Linked DNA regions of Yarrowia lipolytica. The protein of the gene in region 3 purifies or fractionates together with the protein of the main gene of each other region. This does not show direct contact. Links are inferred from orthologs where the notes say so. Each region holds a gene or a part of one and is shown on either strand. Other genes may lie near its edges. The genes, in order: YALI1_E16493g, YALI1_C30632g, YALI1_E15144g and YALI1_A21919g.

Evidence for each region.
Region 1: the proteins of YALI1_E15144g (region 3) and YALI1_E16493g purify together in Saccharomyces cerevisiae (affinity purification with mass spectrometry; 3 studies listed by BioGRID). This does not show direct contact. The link is inferred for Yarrowia lipolytica from reciprocal best matches to the Saccharomyces cerevisiae genes KAP123 and SIS1.
Region 2: the proteins of YALI1_E15144g (region 3) and YALI1_C30632g purify together in Saccharomyces cerevisiae (affinity purification with mass spectrometry; 8 studies listed by BioGRID, with this or other methods). This does not show direct contact. The link is inferred for Yarrowia lipolytica from reciprocal best matches to the Saccharomyces cerevisiae genes KAP123 and NUP60.
Region 4: the proteins of YALI1_E15144g (region 3) and YALI1_A21919g purify together in Saccharomyces cerevisiae (affinity purification with mass spectrometry; 4 studies listed by BioGRID). This does not show direct contact. The link is inferred for Yarrowia lipolytica from reciprocal best matches to the Saccharomyces cerevisiae genes KAP123 and YRA1.

What each region holds. Positions count from the first base shown.
Region 1 is NC_090774.1:1,646,769-1,651,418, forward strand, and holds YALI1_E16493g (uncharacterized protein), read right to left. Parts: upstream 2,577-4,650; coding exon 1,470-2,576; downstream 1-1,469. Other genes in the region: YALI1_E16501g (uncharacterized protein), read left to right, coding at 3,318-4,334; YALI1_E16531g (uncharacterized protein), read right to left, coding at 4,400-4,650. UniProt on the Saccharomyces cerevisiae protein: Required for nuclear migration during mitosis. It is required for the normal initiation of translation. Might mediate the dissociation of a specific protein complex of the translation machinery. Essential for viability.
Region 2 is NC_090772.1:3,061,007-3,066,069, reverse strand, and holds YALI1_C30632g (uncharacterized protein), read right to left. Parts: upstream 2,787-5,063; coding exon 1,425-2,786; downstream 1-1,424. Other genes in the region: YALI1_C30653g (uncharacterized protein), read right to left, coding at 61-685; YALI1_C30614g (uncharacterized protein), read left to right, coding at 4,087-4,150, 4,667-5,063. UniProt on the Saccharomyces cerevisiae protein: Functions as a component of the nuclear pore complex (NPC).
Region 3 is NC_090774.1:1,512,087-1,518,806, reverse strand, and holds YALI1_E15144g (uncharacterized protein), read right to left. Parts: upstream 4,388-6,720; coding exon 1,250-4,387; downstream 1-1,249. Other genes in the region: YALI1_E15115g (uncharacterized protein), read right to left, coding at 5,328-6,720.
Region 4 is NC_090770.1:2,189,007-2,194,450, forward strand, and holds YALI1_A21919g (uncharacterized protein), read left to right. Parts: upstream 1-2,883; coding exon 2,884-3,162; intron 3,163-4,012; coding exon 4,013-4,183; intron 4,184-4,396; coding exon 4,397-4,618; downstream 4,619-5,444. Other genes in the region: YALI1_A21913g (uncharacterized protein), read right to left, coding at 35-2,302. UniProt on the Saccharomyces cerevisiae protein: RNA-binding RNA annealing protein. May have a role in pre-mRNA metabolism. Component the TREX complex, which operates in coupling transcription elongation to mRNA export.

The DNA.
Region 1 (4,650 bases), about 140 kb from region 3:
ACAGAGACAAGAGGTGGTATGTGGACGAAAAAATCATGTTGAGAAAGTTGACTGCGAGTATGCGTACAGTTGATGATGTGACACCCCTTGAATACCGTCTGATTGAATACCCAACTGTTAACAGAAGGCGGTTTCACGGAGAGCATGGCAGTGTAAACAACAGAGAAGTTATGGCCAACCAACCTGGGCCAAGAAGCTGGTCAAAGGCTTCTTCGTTCCATCCAACTTACGTACTCAGATTGACCATCTATCGGGCTACCCGGATATCGACCCCGAGTGGCTCCAAGCTCTGGATGAGCGTGGCATTTCCCTTGACCGTCAGCCTGAAGAACTTCAGCCATGTGAAAAACTTCAAGCGCTGTGGCGACATGGCTTCCGACCAGCGTTGTCGCTCGAGGAGCACACCCGATGGATTCGCAACACCTGCGTCGCCTCCCTGATCAAATGAGACAACGTTGGTAAGTACGGAGGCTACTTGGTCAACTGGCTCGGCTGTAACAGTAATTGTCACCCAAGCTCCCTCTCCGGAGGCATGTTCACAGCCCACTTGGACGAGCTCAGAGCACAGGCTTCTAGTATCGGTACAGGTGCGTACCAGCAATAACTACTGTATCTTCGTGATGTTAAGATGTCTCTACGACCTGAAGATGCGTCCACGACCACCACCTGAAGATGAACCTCTATTTCCCACTCTAACCAACCCATCTTCTTGACCTCAGTTCTGTAGGAGATGTAAAGTCGATGAAAAAAGTTCTCATAACTACACTACTCGTACTCGTACCGTAAAGCACAATGTACAAACATCCCTAGTACACCAATGCAAACAGCCACTCGTCGTCAAATCACACATCAGCTTGCAAGAAGTTGTGTCACAATGCTCTTCTGTTGAATTCGACAGATTCGCTGAACTCGACAGATTCGCTGAACTCGACAGATTCGTTCAACTCGACAGATTCTAGAATGTTCCAGAACCCACATCCAGAACCCACATGCCTCGTACAAGACGATAATCCCTCTGAACACTTGACGGGCCGTCGACGTGATTGTACATGTACATGAAAAATGCCCTCCAAACGTCACCGCTTATCTGCCCACGTCGATTGCACATTTAGTTTGCTAATTATGCTAAAAAGCCTTCAAAATGTCGTCGACAGCACAATACCAACTTCTTCAGCAGAGCCGTCAGAAGCCCCAAATGAAGGCGCTCAGAAGTCCCATCAGCTCAATTGGACGTTAAAAGACATTCTACATGTTTTCCTACCCTCCAAACCTCCCCCTGATCCCTATAAACACCTCCATGTCCTCTTTACACCCGCCAAACCTCACCAACTAAATCATCCTTAGAGTTGCACTAAGGCTGCAGTAATGAGTTGTTCATGCACACGTACAATTGTCTCCATGATCATGCTATCATTTATTAATTCTTACATGTGAATGCTCTTGCACTCTATGTACAATAAGTTAGTCTATTAAAAGTTGTCCTCAATGGCCTTTCGCTGGGCGTCGGTCAACGAGCTGGGGAAGTCCACCTTGATGGTGATGATCAACTGACCACGCTCACCAGGCTTCTTGGAAATGGGCATACCATAGTTGGGGTAGGTGATAATGTGGCCGGGGTTGATGGGCAGACGCTGCTCAATCTTGAGCTTCTTGCCCTCCAGGGTCTCAATGATCTTGGTGAATCCACACAGAGCCTCCTTGAGAGACAGCTTGATGGACATTTTGAGATCATCACCGTCTCGAGTAAACACGGGGTTGGGCTTCTGCTCAATGACAAACACCACATCCTGCTGGCCACCGTTGGGCTGAGAGTCTCCCTCGCCAGCAAAGGTGAGCTTGGTGCCTGCCTTCCAGCCGGGCTTGATGTTGACGGTCAGCACCTTCTCTTCGGGCTGGCCACTGGGGCCCTTTCGGGTGATCTTCATTTTCTTGGTGGCACCGGTGCACAGGTCCTCCAAAGACACGGGCATCTTGACTGTCACCTGTGTTCGCTCGGGCGATCGGGCCCTCTGGCGCGGCATGCCTCCCATACCGCCCATGCCGCCACCCATGCCTCCTGCACGGCGGCCAGCACGTCCGCCAAAGAGGTTGGCGAATCCTCCGTAGTCGTCTCCCTCATCGTCGAATCCGCCCTGCTGTCCGAATGAGTTGAAGATGTTGAAGGCGTCGCCAGACGAGAAACCACCGAAGCCACCCGGACCACCGCCACCAGAAGAGAAGTGGAAAGTCTGAGGGCCACCACCGCCTCCTCCACTAGAGAAGCCACCTCCGGGGAAACCTCCGGCGCCGCCGGGAAACCCGCCTCCGCCCGGAAACCCGCCTCCTTGGCCGGGTTCGGGCATGGGAACTCCTCCTTTTCGAGCAGCCTCTAGACCATACTGGTCGTAGAGCTCTCGCTTCTCCTTGTCTGACAGAATGTCGTACGCCTCGGAAATCTGCTTGAACTTCTCCTCATTTCCTCCGGGCTTGTCAGGATGGTACTTGAGAGCAGCCTTTCGGTACGCCTTTTTGATGTCCGCCTCGCTGGCGCCAGAAGACACCCCGAGGTCGTCGTAGAGCTTTGTTTCTTTCACCATAGTATCGCTTGTGAAAATGTATGGGTGTAGTAACCTATGTCGTGCGTTACAAGAGCCCGCAAAAAAAGTGCTGACCACCCGCCTTAAGTATTGCTCAGAGCCTATTCGCACTCGACTCTTCTGGAGCCTTCGAGATTGGTTGTGAACCTTCCAGCGTCTTCGCCGCGATAAGGTTGGCAATTGGGACCACGACAGAGCTAAATTCCAAGGCGGCAGTTTGGCTGTGAGTGTGATATATATATACTTAGCGCAATAGAATAGCTACAGAAAAAAGAGGGAAAAGTCACGTGACAGACAGGATGTCGGAGCGCGCGCACGTAGAGAGAAATTCTTACCAATTGAGCGTTCCCCTCGCCACCCATACCTCCTCCTCTCGGTGTTAAAGTGTACGTAGCGTAGCTACTGTACTTGCAGGCGTGTGTGTCAGGCAGGGCAATATTAATACATGAACCGCGCAAGGCCAAAAAAAAAAGACGAAAAAAATCCACGGAAAAACCCGCAAACTCAGCCAATGGATCGCTCTGGCCGCTAAACAGACCCAATTTTCCTCAATTGACGATCTCAAATGAGTACCTTCGAATTTCCATATTTTTTATCAGGGTTAGGGTAGTCCTGATTTGGCTGATTTCTGGGGGGGGGGGAAGAGAGAGGTCCACCTCACGTGACCATAGCTTAATCTCGCCGCTCCCAATATGCCGTTTAGTCCGTGATATCTCGAGCAGCACGAAACAGGTTGAATCCATGGGTTCGGAAACAAATCAAGCATCCGCGCAGCCTCAGCAGCCACCGGCGCAGCCCCAGGGCCAGGTCCAACCCCAGCAGCAGGCCGCGGCAGCCGAGTCGGACATGTCTGTGATTTTGTGCTCGTCGAGTTACGATAACACCATCAAGTTCTGGGAGGCATTGAGTGGAATCTGCTCGCGAACCATCCAGCATCCTGATTCGCAGGTCAACAGACTGGCAATCACGCCAGACAAGAGGTATCTGGCAGCAGCAGGAGGCAACACAGTGCGGCTGTACGACATTCGAAGTAACAACCCCAAGGCGGTCATGACCTTTGAGGGACACACAGGCAACGTGACGGCATTGGCATTCCAGTACGATGGCAAATGGATGGTCACTTCGTCGGAAGATGGAACAGTCAAGGTCTGGGATATGCGGACCGCCACAGTCCAGAGAAACTACAAGCATAGATGCCCCGTTAACGATGTGGTGATCCACCCCAACCAAGGAGAAATCATCTCGTGCGACCAGGAGGGAAACATTCGAATCTGGGACCTCGGCGAAAACACATGCACTCACCAACTGATCCCCGAAGAAGACGTGCCTGTACGATCAGTGTCTGTGGCGTCGGATGGATCAATGTTGGTGGCCGGAAATAACAAGGGCAACTGCTACGTGTGGAAAATGCACAACACCCGCGACGTGACTTCTCTGCATCCCATTACCAAATTCAGATCTCACTCAAAGTATATCACCAAGGTGCTGCTATCTCCAGACGTCAAGCACCTGGCCACCTGCTCCGCAGATAACACGGCCCGAATCTGGTCCATCAAAAATGGATTCTCGTTGGAAACTACTCTCACAGGACACCAGCGATGGGTGTGGGATTGCGCATTCAGTGCTGACTCGGCATACCTTGTCACCGCAAGCTCAGACCATTACGTGCGGCTGTGGGAATTGGCATCTGGGCAAATCATCAGACAATACAGTGGCCACCACAAGGGCGCACTTTCGGTCGCCCTCAATGATGTTTAGTCTACTAACCAGCTTATGTATTTTATTATATATCTATGTATATCTTTCATCTTCATGTGCTTTAATCACACAGTAACAGGAGGAGAAGACATGGGGCGGTACCAAAACTCCAGTTTGCCCTTGATCATTTCCACCTCAGGACTCACATCCAAAATATGGATGGACTGGGGGAAAGATCCGTCAGCAAGAAGCCCGTCATGAGCAAGATATTCGTAGAGGAAGCCGCACAGAACAGACATGTCGTGGTCAAGACCATGCTTACTGACCACGAGATTCGCGTCAAGCTCCAGATTGTCATGGTCCTTTCTCACAAGAT
Region 2 (5,063 bases), on a different chromosome or scaffold from region 3:
CTACGCCCTGTTTAAACAAAACCTCTGCTCAACATCCCCCCCTCCCCCCGTCATACTCACCAACAATGGTTCCCTGTTGGGTCACAATGGTACCGAGATCGGAGAAAATCTCGTTGAGCTCCTCGATACCCTGCTCAATGTTTCTGATCTCCTCCTCTCGTTCCGAAATCAACGTCATGTGCTGATCTGTTTCCGACTGATTCATAAAGTCCTGGGTCATGACATCCTGCTGCTGCAGTTGCTGCTGCTGCTGCTGACCCTCGCCCCTCGACTCCGACTCCAGCACCGCCTGCTTGTCCATCTTGATCTCCTGCTTCTCGTGCGCGGCCAGCCGTTTCTGGATCTGCTGAAACTCGGACAATGCCGTGGCAAACTCCCGGCCCAGCTTCTGTTGCGTGAACCGCTGGGCGGCGTTTGTGTCGTCCCATTCCTTGAGCCGCTTGAGATCCTCGCCCGTCGTCTTGAACCGGTCCCGCGTCTCGTCGGCAAGATCGATCGCCCGCCCCACCACGTCCCGCTTGCCCCCCGTGTTCTGCGCAGCCTTGAGCAGCCGCCCCAGCGTCACCAGGTTGTTGTTCAGCAGGAACAGCGTGTCGGAGATATCGGCGTTAAGCTTGTCGAACTCGGGCGAGTCCGAGTACGCCGGCTGCGCCTCCAGGCTTACGGCGTCGCTGAAAGAACTCATGTGTGTGATTAGTATCGTAGTCGCGGAATGCCGAGATAAGAATAAACACACTGCATGTGAGCAGCTCCCAAATAGGAAGCGAGTGATTACGTATGACGCCACCAAATAGAGTTGCAAGTGGGGTTATTTTGGAGGCAGAAAAGGCGCTTTTAGAGGCCATATTTGAAAGAAATGGGATTGCATTTTGATGTGAGATTTTTCTGTGGATTTTAGGGAGTATTTCGGTACAAAAATAATCTTTCTGCGACGGTTTTTGGGCTCTAGGAATATACGATAAAAAGTATTATTTAATATATAAATAAATATATTATGAATATACATAAATAAAAAATAAATAGAAATAAATAGAAATAAAATAGAAATAAATAGAAATATATAGAATTATAGAAATAGAAATAAATATAAAAATAAAAAAATAAAAAATAATATTTTTTTTAAGAGGGTGATAAAATATCTATATATACATTTTCACTCACGAACATAGCCTAGGAATACAAAAACATGACTATTTAACCTCCTCCGGCGGCAGTTAAGTCGGAGTCTGAAGATGGCCAAACCAGTTCAAAGTCTGACTGTAGTTTTGACGATGTCTGCGCCTCTTGTTACACACTATGTAGCTCACGGTACCACTGTTACTCACCCACAGCCTCGTATTCCCTGTACACAAATGTTTACACAATATCATTTATTGGTTATTCCTTCTCATGCTATACATCCTTATCGTTTCCTGGTCCTCTCTCTAGAAAACGAAATCCTTCTTGAACTGGTCCACCTTGGACTTGTCTGCTGGAGTCAACGGCTTGGGCACCTCGCCCTTGAGGGGAGTGCTAAAGTCAAAGTCTCGTCCGTACTTTTTGGCAGCCTCGGATAGGGGAGTAGAAGGAATACCTGCCTTGGCCAGTTTGGGAGTGGAAGGCAGAACTGGCTTATCTTTGGAAATCTCAGGGTACAGAGGCTTGGAGGGAGAGCGAATGGCAGCAGAAGATGCCAGATCCTTGCCGATCTTCACATCTGTATCTTCGTCCCCGGAAGGAGAAGACGATTTCAGCTTGGAGGTGAAACCGTTGTTGGTCTTGTTACCAAACGTGAAAGAAGGGGGCATGGATTCAGGCGATCCCGACGAAGAAACTGCAGTTTGCTTCGGCGCCGAGGTCTTGGTGCTTTCGGGAGACTTGGGGTCGGCCACAAAGGAGTCTCGCAGATTACTGGATCGCACAGGCTTATACTTGTCAAACTTCTTCATCTGCGGCTGGGCCTTGACGCTATCTCGCTCCCGCTGCTGTTCCAGAGGCATGGACTGACTGATGATCTGGGAGGGGGTTTTTGACGGCGACGCCTCCTTCTTTTCGGGGGAAGGAGTCATGAGTTTCTCACGCGACGGGGGGGTCAACTGACTGGCAGATCGTTCTCGCTCGGGTCGTCGAGGAGAAGACGCGTAGGGGTTGATGAACTCCTTTGCGGGAGAGGATTCGGCTGGTGTGACAACCTCTTCTTCGTCATCATCAATCAGAGACAGAAGAGTAGAAGCCACTCCAGAAAGAGGTCTATCTGCGACAGAAGAGACCGGTGAGGTGATGGGCGATGTGGAGTTTGTGGTTGTGACTCGGTTAGGCGACAGGGCCTGTCGTGCAGATCGCTTAGGAGAGGACATCATGGGAGATGGACGGCCTCTAACTCCACCGAGGGACGATCTAGTGACACGGGAGTTTCTCTGGCCAATAGAGGCCATTGATCTCGACTTTTTGAGAGTCCCATTAACACTCGCAGCGGGCTCCATTCGTCTGGGAATCTTGGAGGGCGATCCGTACGTCTCGTTGCGGCCTGCCAGATTGGCCAAACTCATGCTATGACGAACCGATCGGTCGTGCTGGGTTCCTGTAGGCGACAGTCGTTCGGCGAGATTGGGATCGTCGCTGGCCGCCTCGTTGATGAGTGCCAGTACACCTGCGGTTTCCACATCACTCAAAGGAGCGTCTCCTTTTCTCTCGAAGAACTCTGCCAGGCGTTGGTTGGGCGATTTTCCGGGGCCCAGCGAAATGCGTTTGTGTCGGGGCGGTGTCTGCGATGGCGTGTACACCGTTTCTGTGATCTCCTCCTCCATCTGGGGCTCTTCAAAGGTCCGCGACCGGTCAATCACGGGGTACAGCGCTGAGACGGGCGGGTCCCGGGCCAAATTTGCAGGCGAGTGGCTCTGTGTTGGTTGATTGGGGTCGTCGGGTTTGTGCGGGCGGAAAAACCCAACCACCCGGGAAAAGAGACCGCTTCTGTGTCCCTCAGCGGGGGGGCTGGCCGCCGACGGGCCGGGGCTGGGGGGCGGTCCGTAGGGAGACCCCTCGGAGGCTGCGGAGCGAGCTTTTGGTGCGGACGACGCGGGAGTTTTCCATGATGCTGCGCCAACGGTGTGTTTGTCGACGTTGGTGTCGTCACAGGCGTACAAGTAGTTAGTTAGTGTATCATGTGGATTTTTTTGGCACCATGCATGTTGGGAGGTTGGAGGTTAGGGATTTGGCTTTATTGGGGGGGCTGAGAGAGCATTTTGAGCAGCACTAAAGAGGGGTTGGAGGGGCTTTTTGTGGGATATAAACACATAAATCTGATCGTCGAAGCTTCCTGTCTAGATTTGTGTCTTTGGTTTCCCATTCTGATGTCCGATACGTCTCCACGAGGCGTCGTGTTGACGGCCTACAGTTCAACCGCTGGTACAAGCGAGCTCATGTCTGAAAACGCTATTGGCATGAGGTTGAGCGGGTGATCTGAGATGAAAGGAAGTCGACAACCGGCTCCACGAGTATGGTAATGTGAAGTACTCCTCCGCAATCATCAACTCCTCCGCAAACATCAACTCCTCCGCGACAGTCCGGCTACTCCTCCGCGACAGTCCGGCTGCTCCTCCTTGACGCTCAGTAGCCATTCAAACATACCATTCTAAACTAGACATCATCACACCCCGGAATACTCCATCAGTGCCGTAGTCACACAAAACCATCCTCGTGACCTCATATAATCGGACTTTGTACAAATCCAACATTCGCCATACAAAATGATCCCCACAGCTCTTCCTCCACCTCCATACAGTTGTCCATCCCCAGTCAGACTCTGAAATACCCCCACAAGTGTAATTCTCGTCATACCCGTATATTGAACACTTCTTACTTTCCTCCCCTCCCCTTGCCCTCCCACTATATGAAGCAATACCAAGTCCACAAGAACTACAATCACTCCGGCGGCAATGTTGCACCTCGCTCATATCCACTCTTCGAATCCCCGCAACGTCGTTATATCGCCTTCAATTGCTTCCCCCAACCCCGTCGTCTAGGGTTACGTCCCAAATTACCCTACCGGATAACCTCGTGAGTTCGAATCTCTCTTGTCATTTTTTTACCCGAGCAATAACCCGACCCATGAGTTCCCCCGACGAGATTGTCGACTATCTCGTGGAAAACGTGGCCCTGTTTGGTCCCGGAGGTGAGTGTCCCGGCTGAGTGACGCAAACGGCAAAATGGACAAAAAAACCCCGTCTCGACAGTCCACCAGCCAAATGGTCGATATGCAGCATCGCAGAGGGAAAAATATTTTTTTGCGAACGCCGCAATTTACGTGAAGAGGCAAGAATGGACGTGTTCGTGCGTGTGTCTGGTCGGTGTGAGCTGTTCAGTCTCTTCGGAGACAGGATCAGGGTGTTTTTGGTCCACTTGAGACTAGCTGATAGCTCTAGGGAGGGGTGAAAAACGCCCAAGCTGTGAAGAAACCCTTCCCGAACGTTCTAGATGGCGATGGAGTTTGATTGAGGGTGTTTTTTCTCTACAGCGGTCACTTTTGGTCGAATTGTGACTGTACTCAACAGCACTGATAGGACTGCCCAAGTCTTCTCGTTCGTTGCTATGCCGTTCGCACCTGCGCCATCCCTGCTCTCCAATGTTCCATGACTCTTCTACCCTTCTCTCACAGCTCGTACACTCGACTCGTGTTCTGCTAACCTAGGTGTAACCCTCCCCCAATTGTGGACACTCTCCTACGACAAGGTTCCAAATCTCACGCCCAAACTCCAGCAAGTGATTTGGAAATGGCTCATGAACCATCCCAGTATGGTCGTTGGAGTCAACGGAGAAGACGAGACCGAGACCGTCAACAAACTTGATTACAAAACTCTGCTCGAGACATACCCCCAGGACTCGGTTCAGGTGTACGCTGACGAAGACACCCAGTGGCGTACTTTGACGGGCAGACCCAAGAAGAACAACCCCATTGGAGCATTCCCCTTTGAAGCACTGTGTGTTGTTGCCGCTGCTCGAGAAGATGGAGCTACCGCTGTGCAGATCACCAAACAAACTGGCCAGGATGCGCGATCCATCTTTGGGCGGGTCAACGCACTCATGGA
Region 3 (6,720 bases):
AAGATCTTTTCTCAGATGGTTCCTTGACGTAACTTGGTACTTGTCTGGGAGCCACTTAGTTCGACCTCATAAAGATGAAAGCGGTTCCCCCATCAGTTCAGTTATCTTTTAAAACTCATCTTTCAACTTGCAGTCTTTTGATGGTCACTTCAGGAAGTGATAATAGTCGAGAGAGGTCTCTTCGACCCCTACCACACAACAACAAACATTGATGTCCATCAATACCATTGTTAAAACATGAATATTATATACTCGTAAGAAACACCAGTAGTGTGTTTATATTCTACATTTCTACTACCCTCGAAACACTTTGAAACGGTCAAAAACGTCCCTCGTTTTTTGTTTTTGCTGGGTTTTTTTTGTTTTATTCTAATGATTCATTACTTTTTTTTTTTATTCTAATGATTCATTACAGCTATATACCTACAAGTAGTAAGCCGGGTTATTGGCGTTCAATAAATCATACATTTTTTTATTTTTTTTATTCTAATGATTCATTCTATTTTTCAACATTTCTGAAAGTGGATGCCAAAAATCCGTGTTTTTAACGAGGGCGTCTGGTGTAGTTGGTTATCACATGCGCTTAGCATGCGCGAGGTCCCCGGTTCGATTCCGGTGTCGTCCATTTTTTTATAATCTGTTGATACAGCAACGATAACCGTTTCATACTTGTGATTTTTTTTTCTTTTGTATCTTTCGATATCGTCATGACATTCGGTGATATTATTTCAGAATCGTGGACCTTCTCCCAACTCCTTTGTGAACGCTACCATGCGATAATACCTATAACAGCATTCAAAGACAGATGAATGGAGGCACTGTGGAAGAAGAATATATATAATGGCCAATTTCCTCAGTTCAGTTACTTCACGGATCCTCTATCCAATTTAAAGAGTCAACCTCTTCACTCTATGGATTCACGCTTCAACGCTAGATACGATAGGAATGACACTACCTGCAGACACAGAATACAACTGATGCCACTGGCGCGGGCGATAAATAAATCTTTTCTGGAATAATGTCCCTGCAACCTGCTTTACTAGCGCTTTCCAACTTGGGTGGATGTGAGCTTCTGTTATGGATTCAGTAGACACGACTCTCGGAAAGCGAAAGGCTTCGAGAGAGCAGCCCTGGCTCAAGAATTGTGCTCTCCTATCTTCAGCTCCTCAAATCAAGAGCCCGGTCTACATCGTATAAATAAAACATCTATTAAATCATCTAGCATAGTCTCGACCACCTAGCCACTTTTCTACATCTTCTGCATCACTGCCTCCAGCTTCTGCTTGACCTGGTCGTCCAGGATCTTCTCTGTCTCGTCCTTTCGGGCAATCTCCTGAATCAGATTGGAGATGTCACCCTTGAGAGGCACAATAGTGGGGTCGTTGTGCTCCAGCAGAGCGGCAAACAGGCCAAAAATGGGCACATACTCCTCCTGGCCGTCGCCCAGAGGCAGACGAGCCACCAGGGCAGGCACCACCTCGCTGATGGGTACGGAGCCGGGAGCCTTGAGGGTCATTCGAGCGACACAACCGCAGGCGTTGGCCAGACATCGGTCGTTGTTGTCCTCGGGGTCGTCCGACAGGTTCTTCTTGGCCTGCTTGTCGACCTTGGTGAGCAGGCGCTGCAGCTTCTGGAGGATGGCAGGGTACTGAGAAGTGAGGTCGACAGTAGAGTTCTCGGCCAACACACCAAATGCAAATGCGGAGTTGGATCGCACATCGAGATGGGCGTCGGTGAGACCCTTGATGCAGATGTTGAGAATCTCGCCGGTGAACTCGGAGACGGAGGACTTCATGCCGACAGTCATCTCGGCCAGAGCACCAATGCCAAAGGCTCGCTCCTCATCCATCTTGGAGTTGGCGTAGTTCTGCACGTAAGGGAATAGAGCCTTGAAGATGGGCACAAAGTGAGCCTCGAGAGACTCAGACATGGCTGCGCACACGTCAAAGGCGTAGTCCAGCATGAGGGAGTCGTACTCGGACTGCTCGAGCTCGGCAGCGTCAATCTCCTCCTCCTCCATCTGGGCGGGGTGCTCCTTCTTGAGCACAAGGATCACCTGGGAGCAAATGGTTCGCAGGGTGTCCTCGTCGCCGAGAATGGCGGGTCCAGCGGCCTTCATGGCCTCAACAAGCACCTCGCAGATGGCAATTACCACCAGTCGAGAGTCCTCCTCCTCCAGAAGCTCGACGGTCTTGGTTCGAGCAAGCTGCAGGAAGGTGGACAGAGACTCGGGGTAGGCCGAGGTGTCCGCGGGGAAACCGGGCTTCCATTGGGGAAGGTTGGCCATGCTGTAGAGAGAGTGGAAAATCTTCCACACGGCGCCCAGAGCCTCCTTTCGAATACCCTCGTAAAAGTGGTCGAGAGCAGAGAACAGGGGATCGGTGATCTCCTCCAGGAAGTTGAGGAACTGGCCCTTGGTGGCGAGGATCATGTCGCCAAGCACCTGGAAAGCGGTCTCCTTCTGGGTAGCCAGCAGCGAGTTGACCTTGAACTTGGAGTCGTCGTCCTCCTGTCCAATAGCCTCATCATCCTCATCCTCATCCTCAAAGCCGAAGTCGTCCTGTCCCAGGAACTCGACAAGCAGAGGAATAACTCGAGGAAGGTACTGGCCAAACTCCTCGCCGTACAGCTTGGCAATGACGCCAAAGAAAACAAAGCCGGCCTCTCGCAGCAGATCCACCTGCAGAGTAGCATAGGCCTTCTCGGCAAAGGTGTTGACGTAGGGTCGGAAGGCCTCCTTGCCAATAGCGCCGGCAATCGCGCCGATAGTGTCAAAGGCGGAGCCCTTGACGGCGAGCTCGACCTCGGTCATCTCAGCGGCATTCTCGAGGTTGATAAGCTGGCCAAGACCGTTGATGCACTGCTCGGCGTAGGGAGTGAAGGCCTCCTTCGCAGCGAAAGCAGCGGAACCAACAGCAGCGATCAGAGTAGTTCGCAGAGAGTCGTCCTGGGCCTGGTCCAGCATGGTGATGAGACGGGGCATGAGCTCGGCCAGGTACTTCTCGGCGATGACGTCCTGCTCGAGAGTCTCAAGCACAGACTCCAGGGCAGAGGTGGCAGCCTTGAACTGAGCGGGGGAAGAAGAGGCATCCATAGCAGAGCAAATTAGAGGCACCAGAGTAGCGTGGTGCTCACCAATAATGTGGTGCAGGTGGTAGGCCAGACGGACAAGAACCATCAGAGCAGACACGTTGGTGGGGTTCTGTCGGAGAGTGCCAATGACAGACTCGAGAACGGGGTCCAGGTGAGTGGCCACGAACTCGGGAGATCCCTCAATGGCGTAGGAGAGAGCAGAAAGCACAGCGTCCGAGTTGGGCTGCTGCTGCAGAAGCTCAAAGATGGGGACAAGCACCTGCTTGGGAGGCAGCTCGTTGGACAGATAACCAATGACTCGCAGAGCAAGCTTTCGGGTAGTATCCTCATCTTCATCATCGTCGTCCTGCTCGTCGGGGAACTCGGCAATCTGCTGTGCAATGATCTCGACCATGGAGTTGGTGAGAGTGGGCCCAAGACCCAGAGCCTGCAGTCGTCGCTTCTTGAATCGCACGGCAGAGATCAGGAACCGTAGAGCGGCCATCTTGTTCTCGTCAGAGTCGCCTCGCTTGGCAATCTCCAGCATGAACTGGACGAGGTCGCCAATGTGATCAGCCACAAGAGCGCCCTCGATGAGAAGCAGGGTTGAGAAGACCTCAAACAGCTGCAGGGTCTTGTCGTCGTCACGCTGCATGGCACCCTTGAGCACATCGACCATCTGGGGCACCACCTGCTTCTTGAACATCTCGGCATTAGAGTCGGAAGAGTCAATCAGCTCTGAGATCATACCAGCGCACAGCATGGAGGTAACCTGCAGCTCGGCGTCGTTCTGAGCCATGTTGACGGACACCAGAGGAAGAATGTTGGAGGCGTTGGTCACAAAGGTCTCGGCACCCACCTCAAGCAGAATGTAGATGATGTAGGTAGCGACCTCTCGATCTCGGGCGTCTCCAGAGCTGATTGCGGTGTTGAGGCTCTGGGGGAGCTCATTCCAGGTCTGCAGACCCAGCTCAATCTCTCCAATGGCAGCCACAACACGGGCAGAGGTGTGTCGTACAAGGGCCACCTGTTCGGCCAGAGTGGACTGGAGAAGCGAGTTCTTGATCTCGTTTCGAACGGCCTGATCGTTCTCCTCCCAGTAAATGGGGATCTGCTTTCGGGCCTCGATTCCAGCCAGCTGCTTGATTCCAGAGTCCTCGTGCTTCTGCATAATGTGGATCAGAGACACGGCACACTGAGGGTTCATGTAGAACTCGGCCTGCAGTCGCTGAGACGCATTTTTGATGTCCTCAGGCGATTTGGGGGACGTGATTTGGCCCAGAAGCTGGGCTAGTTGCACCGTGAAGTCGTCCATCGTGTAGTGAGGTACAAGTTAAGAGGAGACTGTGAGATAGCGAGAGAAAATTTAAACTTGGAATTTTTTCGATTAGAGTTGGGGTTAGGGGGTGCATCTGTGCACTCAAACAAGGACCGATTACGATTACAGAGCCGGGGTGTTTTACAGCAATTGACGTCGCACTGGCGTAGGGACGGGACCGCGGTCACGTGCGGGGGGTCGAGTCTGTCTGGTGGTCACGTGATTTGGCAAGTCTACCGCGGCCCCGTCGTCTAATATCCCTCCCCCTTCAAAATTCCGTCGCAATCTCACTTTCAACTTGCACTTACTTTGAGCCCCTTTTTTTCCCGTATTTTTCGGTTTCTTTTTCCCTATTGTCTTTTTTGGCCCCCTTGCACACACTGGCATACGGTGGAAACAGACTGTATGTACACCGCACACCGTCGGAATGTAGTTACGTAAGCGCACCAATCATTAGGGAGCTCTGCACGCAAATCCAAAAAATATTTTTTTTATCCCTGTGCACACACCGCTCTGACGCAACTCATCAAACTCAATGTGGCCTGGATGAGCCGAAGATGAAAAAAAATATCGACATTGAATAATTTAGGCGTCTACAGTATGAGTGTTTGGATTGGTTGTTCAAGTAACCAAGGAAGCGTTAGAGTATTATGCGTTAGTGTGCTGAATAACTGGTACAGTACGAGTACCAGTGCAAGTAGTGCTACAAGTGGTATATGTAGTATGTATACAAGTACTTTAGAAGTACAACATGGACAGTTGTTGATACAGTGTACCCAGTCCCTTGAAGGTATACACTGTCAAGGGAGCTGATCGATACGATATTTCCTGTCTGCTGAGAGCAATGCAGCTGTAACGTCTATAGCTACTGTGCTGTTCGCTCAGTAATATTCATAAAATTTTATTGGGAGATTTTACAACCGCCATGCTAACTTGTCTAATCAATCTTGATTGCGGTGTAGATCTTTCGCACAAAGAAGAAGGAACAGGTGTAGCCCACGGTTCCGAGCAGCACAAACATAATGAGGGAAATGATGGCGGAGTAGCCGAGATACAGAATGTTGGAGGTGAAGGAGCCCAGAGCCAGCTTGTTGATGAGGAACAGCAGAGCGTGAGCGTACACGTAAAAGGCGCACGAGCCGGCAATGAAGAAAGATCTCCACTGCCAGTGGTAGTTTTCGGAGCACAGCAGCAGGTAGATCATGAGCACAGTGACAACAACGGTGGACACCAGCATGAGACCGTACGACAGGAACAGGAAGCCGAACATGTAGAACATTCGGTGGAACCAGATGGAGCTGACAATGAAGTACAGCTCGACGAAGATGGCCACAAAGGGCAGAATACCAGCAATGGCCACAGAGGGGACCTTTTCCAGGTAAAAGGGCTGCTGAGGGATCTGTCGGGGGATCTGGTTGGTCTTGACAGGCACAGAGAAGGGAGTCTTGGCGATGAAACCTCCAGCAATGGACAGAGGAACAGAAATGGCGAACCACACGGCAACCAGAGCAAGCATGGTACCGAAGGGAACGGCTCCAGCAGAGTTGTAGGCAATCAGGAAGAAGTTGAGACCAATGAAGGCGGCAAAGATGATGGAGGGGATAAGCACGGGGGTCAGAAGAAGGTTCATCTTCACGTTCTCACCGCCCATGGTGTTGTAGAACTTTCGAGACACGTAGCCCCCGACAAAGCCAGACAGAGAGTAGAAGAGAATGAAGGCTGTTCCAAGAGCTCCTCGGTTGGAGGGCGAAAGGAATCCAATGACGGCGAAGAAGACTGTGAGGCCGCACATGACGAACATCTGAGCTCCAGAACCCAAAAAGGCACACAGAATCATTCGGTTCTTAGGAGTTCGGAACACGTCTCCATGCACGAGCTTCCATCCACTGTCCTCCTGAACCTCCTCAGACAGATCAATCTCATTGTAGGAGGCAATGTCCTTTCGCAGAGCTCGGGTCAGAACGGTAGCAACAGTAGTAGCCAGCAGAGTGACGACGATGGCGGAGTTGATGATGGCAAACCACTGGACCTGGGGGTTGTGGACCTGGAGGTACTTGTCCCATCGGGTGGCCCAGGGGGTGTCTGAGTGCTTCCAGGTGACCGAGTAGGTGAAAACCACCTGCTGCTTAGTATCGGGATCAGTCTGGAGATGCAGCTTGGGGTAGTCACCACAGAGGTCTTCCTCGGCGCCGGATCGGTCGAGAGATCGCGGCAGAATTTCCACGCCAACCACTCGGTGCTTGCCCTGCTTGGTGGTGTGGTACTCCACAGTGATGTCGTAGTGGTTGTTGAGGTAGGGGATGTCGGAATCCTCGTCTCGCTTCTCATTG
Region 4 (5,444 bases), on a different chromosome or scaffold from region 3:
AGTCCACGGAGAACTTGATAAGCTCGCCTCGCCATTAAGTTTGATTAGCTGCTCTAGGCCGGCGAGTACGGGTCGAAGGAGGAGGTGGCAACCCTACGTCAGGCCAGAGCAATTTGCCCATTCGCAATGAGTCCAAAATATTATCGCCCTTGCGTGTCCGCGATTCTTTGTTGCGGCACACCTTTTCAGCGTCCCGCGCTGTAGCCTGAGAACCGATATCCGCGTTCCACTCTCTCCCCAAAAGACCCGTTAGGTGGCTCCATACTCCGGTCGATAGAGCTGCGTCAGAGTAGCCTCCTTCGAGTAAAGAGAGAAGCTTGCCCTTGTAATAAGACGCCAGTGCGGCCGAGTCCTTGGAAAAGCGGTGGTAGAACTCCACAGGCACGTTCACCGAGTGTCGCTGCATGCCCTTACCTTCATGCTCGGATGCATCAAAGCCAGCTGATAGCACCACCAAGGGCTTAAACTCGCGCCCTGCCTCCCGAGCCTCACGCTGGGCCCTGAAAAAGAACTCGTTGGCCTTTTCGAATAGCACACAGTACTTTCTGTAGAGCTGCCAAAACTCCTCTTCGGTTTCGTACGGCTCAAGATGGACGTTCCAAATGGCTAGACCATGGCCCATGAGACAAGTAGACGCATTTCTAAGGGCATCTGGAGTGGCATAGCCTAGCTCTGTAGGGAAACTGTTGATGTCATGCACACTAAAATACCCAATGGTGGGAGACGGATAGGAGTGCTTCTTCTCGGGCTCAGGGGTGTGTTCGGGCGTGGTGTCTGCACCCACGTTCACCTGCGACCAACAAATGTCTTGTGACCCATCTCCGTGGTGCAGATCAAAATCAAGGATGACTGCATGTGTCACGCCGTATTGCTTAGCAGCATATTGGATGGCCACATGGGCATTGTTGATTAGACAGAACCCGGAAGGGTCGCAGGCGTGACAATGGTGCCCTGGCGGTCTAATGTTAACAAACGCCTGCGAAAAAGTGCTTGTCTTTCCCTCGGGAGGTGGTGTGTCGCCAATTGAGAGTTTCTGGAGAGTTTCGGAGACATCTGAATCATACAGTGCGTCCACACCACGCTCAACTGCACCTACCACGCCCTTTAGAGCAGTCAGTGTCTCAGGGGACAAATAGATGTCACCCTCGGGCCAACCAGGAGGCAGTTCCAATTGGCCAGCTTCAAGCTTGTCCTTTGATTCCAGACACAGCTTCTCCAGCAAGTTGATATACTCAACGCCATGGACAGCTGTCACATGCTCACTGGACAAATTAGCCTGTCTGACAGACTCTTCAATCTCAAACTTGCCCGGGTTGTTTGCGATAGCCGCGCCAACACCTAGAGATGTAGCCTTGAGCCGCTCGGGTCGTTCCACCAACGAGTCCTTGTATTTTTTTCCCATCCATGAACGACCAAAAGTGTGTTTGTACGATAGGGGAGATTGAACAATTAGCGTCTGGGCAGTTCCCGAGAAGCACCCAGGATATATCTTGTCAATTGCAATCTTGAATGACGTCACAGCGTCGTAATCATCTGAGGAGGTGGCCACAATCTTGTGAACAGGTGTCTCAGGGACAACTGCAGGGGTTTCTGTTTTCAAGGGAGTGGCTTCAGGGGTGGCCAACTTGAGCGGAGTTGCTTCAGGAGTATTTCTGTGACTGACATGAGGGGTCTGAAATTGTGTGGAAGGTATGGCTGGACTTGAGTGTCGTGAAGAATGGCCCGAATGAGGTGCTGAGGGAGGTACTGAAGACACAGTACCAGAGGCACCCATGTCGAACAGAGCTGGGTCGATAGCTGCTCCATCCTCCAGTCCAGGCTCCTGCTTGATATATCCGTTATATCGCTGTCCATGAGACATGTCTTCACCTCCTGGGGCGGATCGTGTATGCGGCGTGTAATAGGCGCTTGGTGTTTGGGGTGGCTCTTGTTTCACAACTTGGGGGGTATAAGGCTGCTGGGTGTGAGATTGTTGCTGAAAATTCTTGTCCCACGGTTTGGGGATTCGATGGTTTCCATTTGGCTGTTGACTGCCGTTTTCAGGTGTCTGTTGCCGCTCCTGATACTCCATCTTGGTTGTTGTTTTGGTGGAGTGCAGATGTAACGCGTCATGTGTGGACTTAATCTGAACCGTATATTTGAGACATGAGATAGGGTGTTTACTGAAACGGAGAGTGTTCATGTGACCAGAAAAGGGATTGAGGACACATTTGGACTTTGAAAACTTCATAGACAAATACTTCTTGACACCCTGACTGATGGCTTCTCCACATGTATGTATTGTACCTGTAGCCCACCTCATCTCCTACCAAGCTTGGCTAAACGAGAGCTTTAGTCTATAGACAATCAGCCTCAACGGCTGGACATCAGGTTTTGAGAGGTACAAATCACAGTTTGTTTTTTGCTAAAATTGTTCAAGAGTACCACGTGTAATCTCTCACTTGTTCCTGTCACAAAAATACCCCTAGTTACGTATCCCTCAATTCTGGTATTCGTATTTGTATTTCTCAAGTCATGTGTGAAGGAACTTAATTTAAGAAAGGGGCTGGTATACGGATATGCACTACGTTCGAGTGTGTACTTCTTTACCACACCGTCCAAGGGCAAGTACAGCACCACCATATATAAGGATGCAGCATATACAATACACACGTTTATTTTGATCACGCACCCATTTATCTATCATATATCACCCTCCCACCATGTTACAAATGGGGTATGTCACCAACGGTTTAGCGCGTTTTGAACCCTGGCCTTGGTGAGGAAACTCAATTGGGGTTACCCTGCCGAGAGCTGGGGTAATTTGCCAGCGCCACTTATCCCAACTCGCCGACGAAAATCGAACCTCGTACTTCCACACCACACAACACCACACACTCAACCATGTCCAACCTCGACCAGTCCCTCGACGAGATCATCTCCGCTGCCCCCAAGCGATCCAACCGAAAGAACCGACGAGGAGCAAGCGCTGCTGGAAACGGTGGAGTCCAGAAGGCCACCCCTGCCGCCCCCAAGGCTGGTACCCCCAAGAACAAGCAGCAGAAGCAGCAGCAGCAGAAGAAGGTCGCTGCTATTGTCAACCCCATTGACGAGGCCAAGAAGCTCGCCAGCAAGGTCATTATTTCCAACCTGCCCCAGGACATTGGCGAGGACGCCATTCGAGTATGTTAAACCGAAGATACACACACGCGACACTGCTAGAGTGATGCGTGGAGTGGACTCAGTTGCACCTGCAGCCTCAAGGCGCACACAGCAACATCAACGGAGCTGATACCGATTCGTGAACGCTTTCTTCGAAAGTCAGTAGCAAGGGAAGTTGCCATTTTTGTGATGGCAGCACCTCATTCAACAGTAGCCAGTATTTCTGCTCTGCAAAATTCTTGGTGAAGAGTAACCGAATTTCCTTCTTTTTAGGAATAAGGTGAAGAGTAGCCAGACGCTTCCCAGTGAAGAATGTGGTGAAGTGATACGCGGTTTCGGGAGCAGATCTGGATCGTCCTCGGACTGATTCCTGCGCTCACGGCCATGCTTATATGGCCAACCGACATTCCGAGAACTGAAACTGAACGGCCTTTTCAAAAACAGCTGCTAGAGAGCTGAGAGCGGTGGGTTTTGCTTGTTGTCATAATGGAGAGAAAGATCGAAAGCACTCATTGCTAATGTGACACGAGCCGGATTGAAAGCTGATGATCAAAGACCTGCGCATATTCCTTGCCTTGTCTTTGCAGCTGTGCGAGGGAAGAAAAATCCATGTCCAGTTTCAGAAGTCAGCCCCTGGAGGCTGGCAAACCTGTTGCAAATTGCTTGTCGCAGGTTGTCCCTATTACTGGGATTTCTCAGGAATGAAAGTCTGCACCAGCCTGGCTGGGTCAGAGTTAAAGCCGCCAGTAAGACATTGTATAATCCTTGTCAGATTCCTCTGACACTCATTTATGCTCTGCTTTGCTCCCCATTTTCGGATCAGTTCCGTTGTGATTCACGTGATTCCTTAAGAACTCGTGCTGACCATTAGGACTACTTCAAGACTGAGATCGGACCCATTTCCGCCTGCACCATGGTCTACAACAAGGGTGGACACCCTGCCGGAATCGTCAATGTCACCTTCAAGCGACAAGGTGATGCTGCCAAGGCCGCCGACAAGTTCAACGGTACTTCCATCGACCGTGGAAAGCGATACATGAAGGTGAGCAGCTAGACATAACAGAGGAGGATCAAGAGAATCAAGAGGAGGGAAATGCCGGCGACAGTGACGACAAATTACGACCATGACACCATCAAATTGACACTCTGCCTTATTTGGACAGGCAGATGTTACTCTGGAGGAGGAATACCATTGATTGCCGTCTACTGCGTGCCGATAATTGCTTGAGACGAAGCGATTTGGATACTAACACAGGTTGAGTTGGTTTACGACCCTTCCAAGACCCCTCTGTCTGCCCGACTCCAGCCCAAGCCCGAGCCTGCTCCCGCCAAGGCCACCGTCAACGCTGCCGCCAAGGCCAAGCAGCAGCAGCAGCAGCAGCAGAAGAAGAAGGCCACTAAGCCCAAGCCCAAGAAGGCCCCCAAGAAGACTGTGGAGCAGCTCGATGCCGAGATGGCTGACTACTTCCAGGATTAAATAGAATTTAATTGATGTATATTAGCTTTTTAATACTGGTCTTGAGTGTTCTGTGTTATGATAATTCCCCCTCAAGTGGATTCTATATCCTATGGTTGACCAATTGTACGTACTGTAGCTACTTGTACTGCATTGTAGTATTGTATGTGCTGTGTCACTCGTCTTTTGTACAATGTGTCATGGCGGCAGCCGTCAGAGAAGGATCTGCCGTAATATACAGAAGCAGTTAATCACGCCGAAACAGAGACTAAAAGTTCAGTACTGGCGAGGCGACCCCCTGTCATGGACTCCAAACCCTGTGCCTTGTTTCTGTATAGATAGCTACTGTACTTGTAGACGCTAATTATTTCCAATCATAAATTCGAAACATCGCCATTCGCTCGTAGTATGATAGACTAACGGCCCTACCCCCAAACGATAGACAAATACACGAGTCTATGAAAACACTGCCTAATTAGAACGCGAAAAGGGGCATGCACAAACCTACTGGTACAGTATTGTATCATACTAAAAGCCCCATGATTATTAGTGCTCTAACGTGTAAGCCGGGTAGCCGAACCCCGTACTATTTTAGACCCCGTTTCGGACAGAGTACAGGCCCATCAGTCTCGGCGTCCGTGCACTGTATACAACTTCTGACACATTTCCCCTCTGTGCTCGTGTTTGACAGCTCGTCCCCACCTCCTCGCACGGTCTCTTAACTCTCTTCGGTCTTGCGTATTTGCGCGTCTGCAAAAGGTTACTTTCCCCTGAGTACACTCAACTTGTTCCGCTATACGAAATTAAAGTTGGCCCCCTGTCGTTTACTTGTACATCAACCACACAC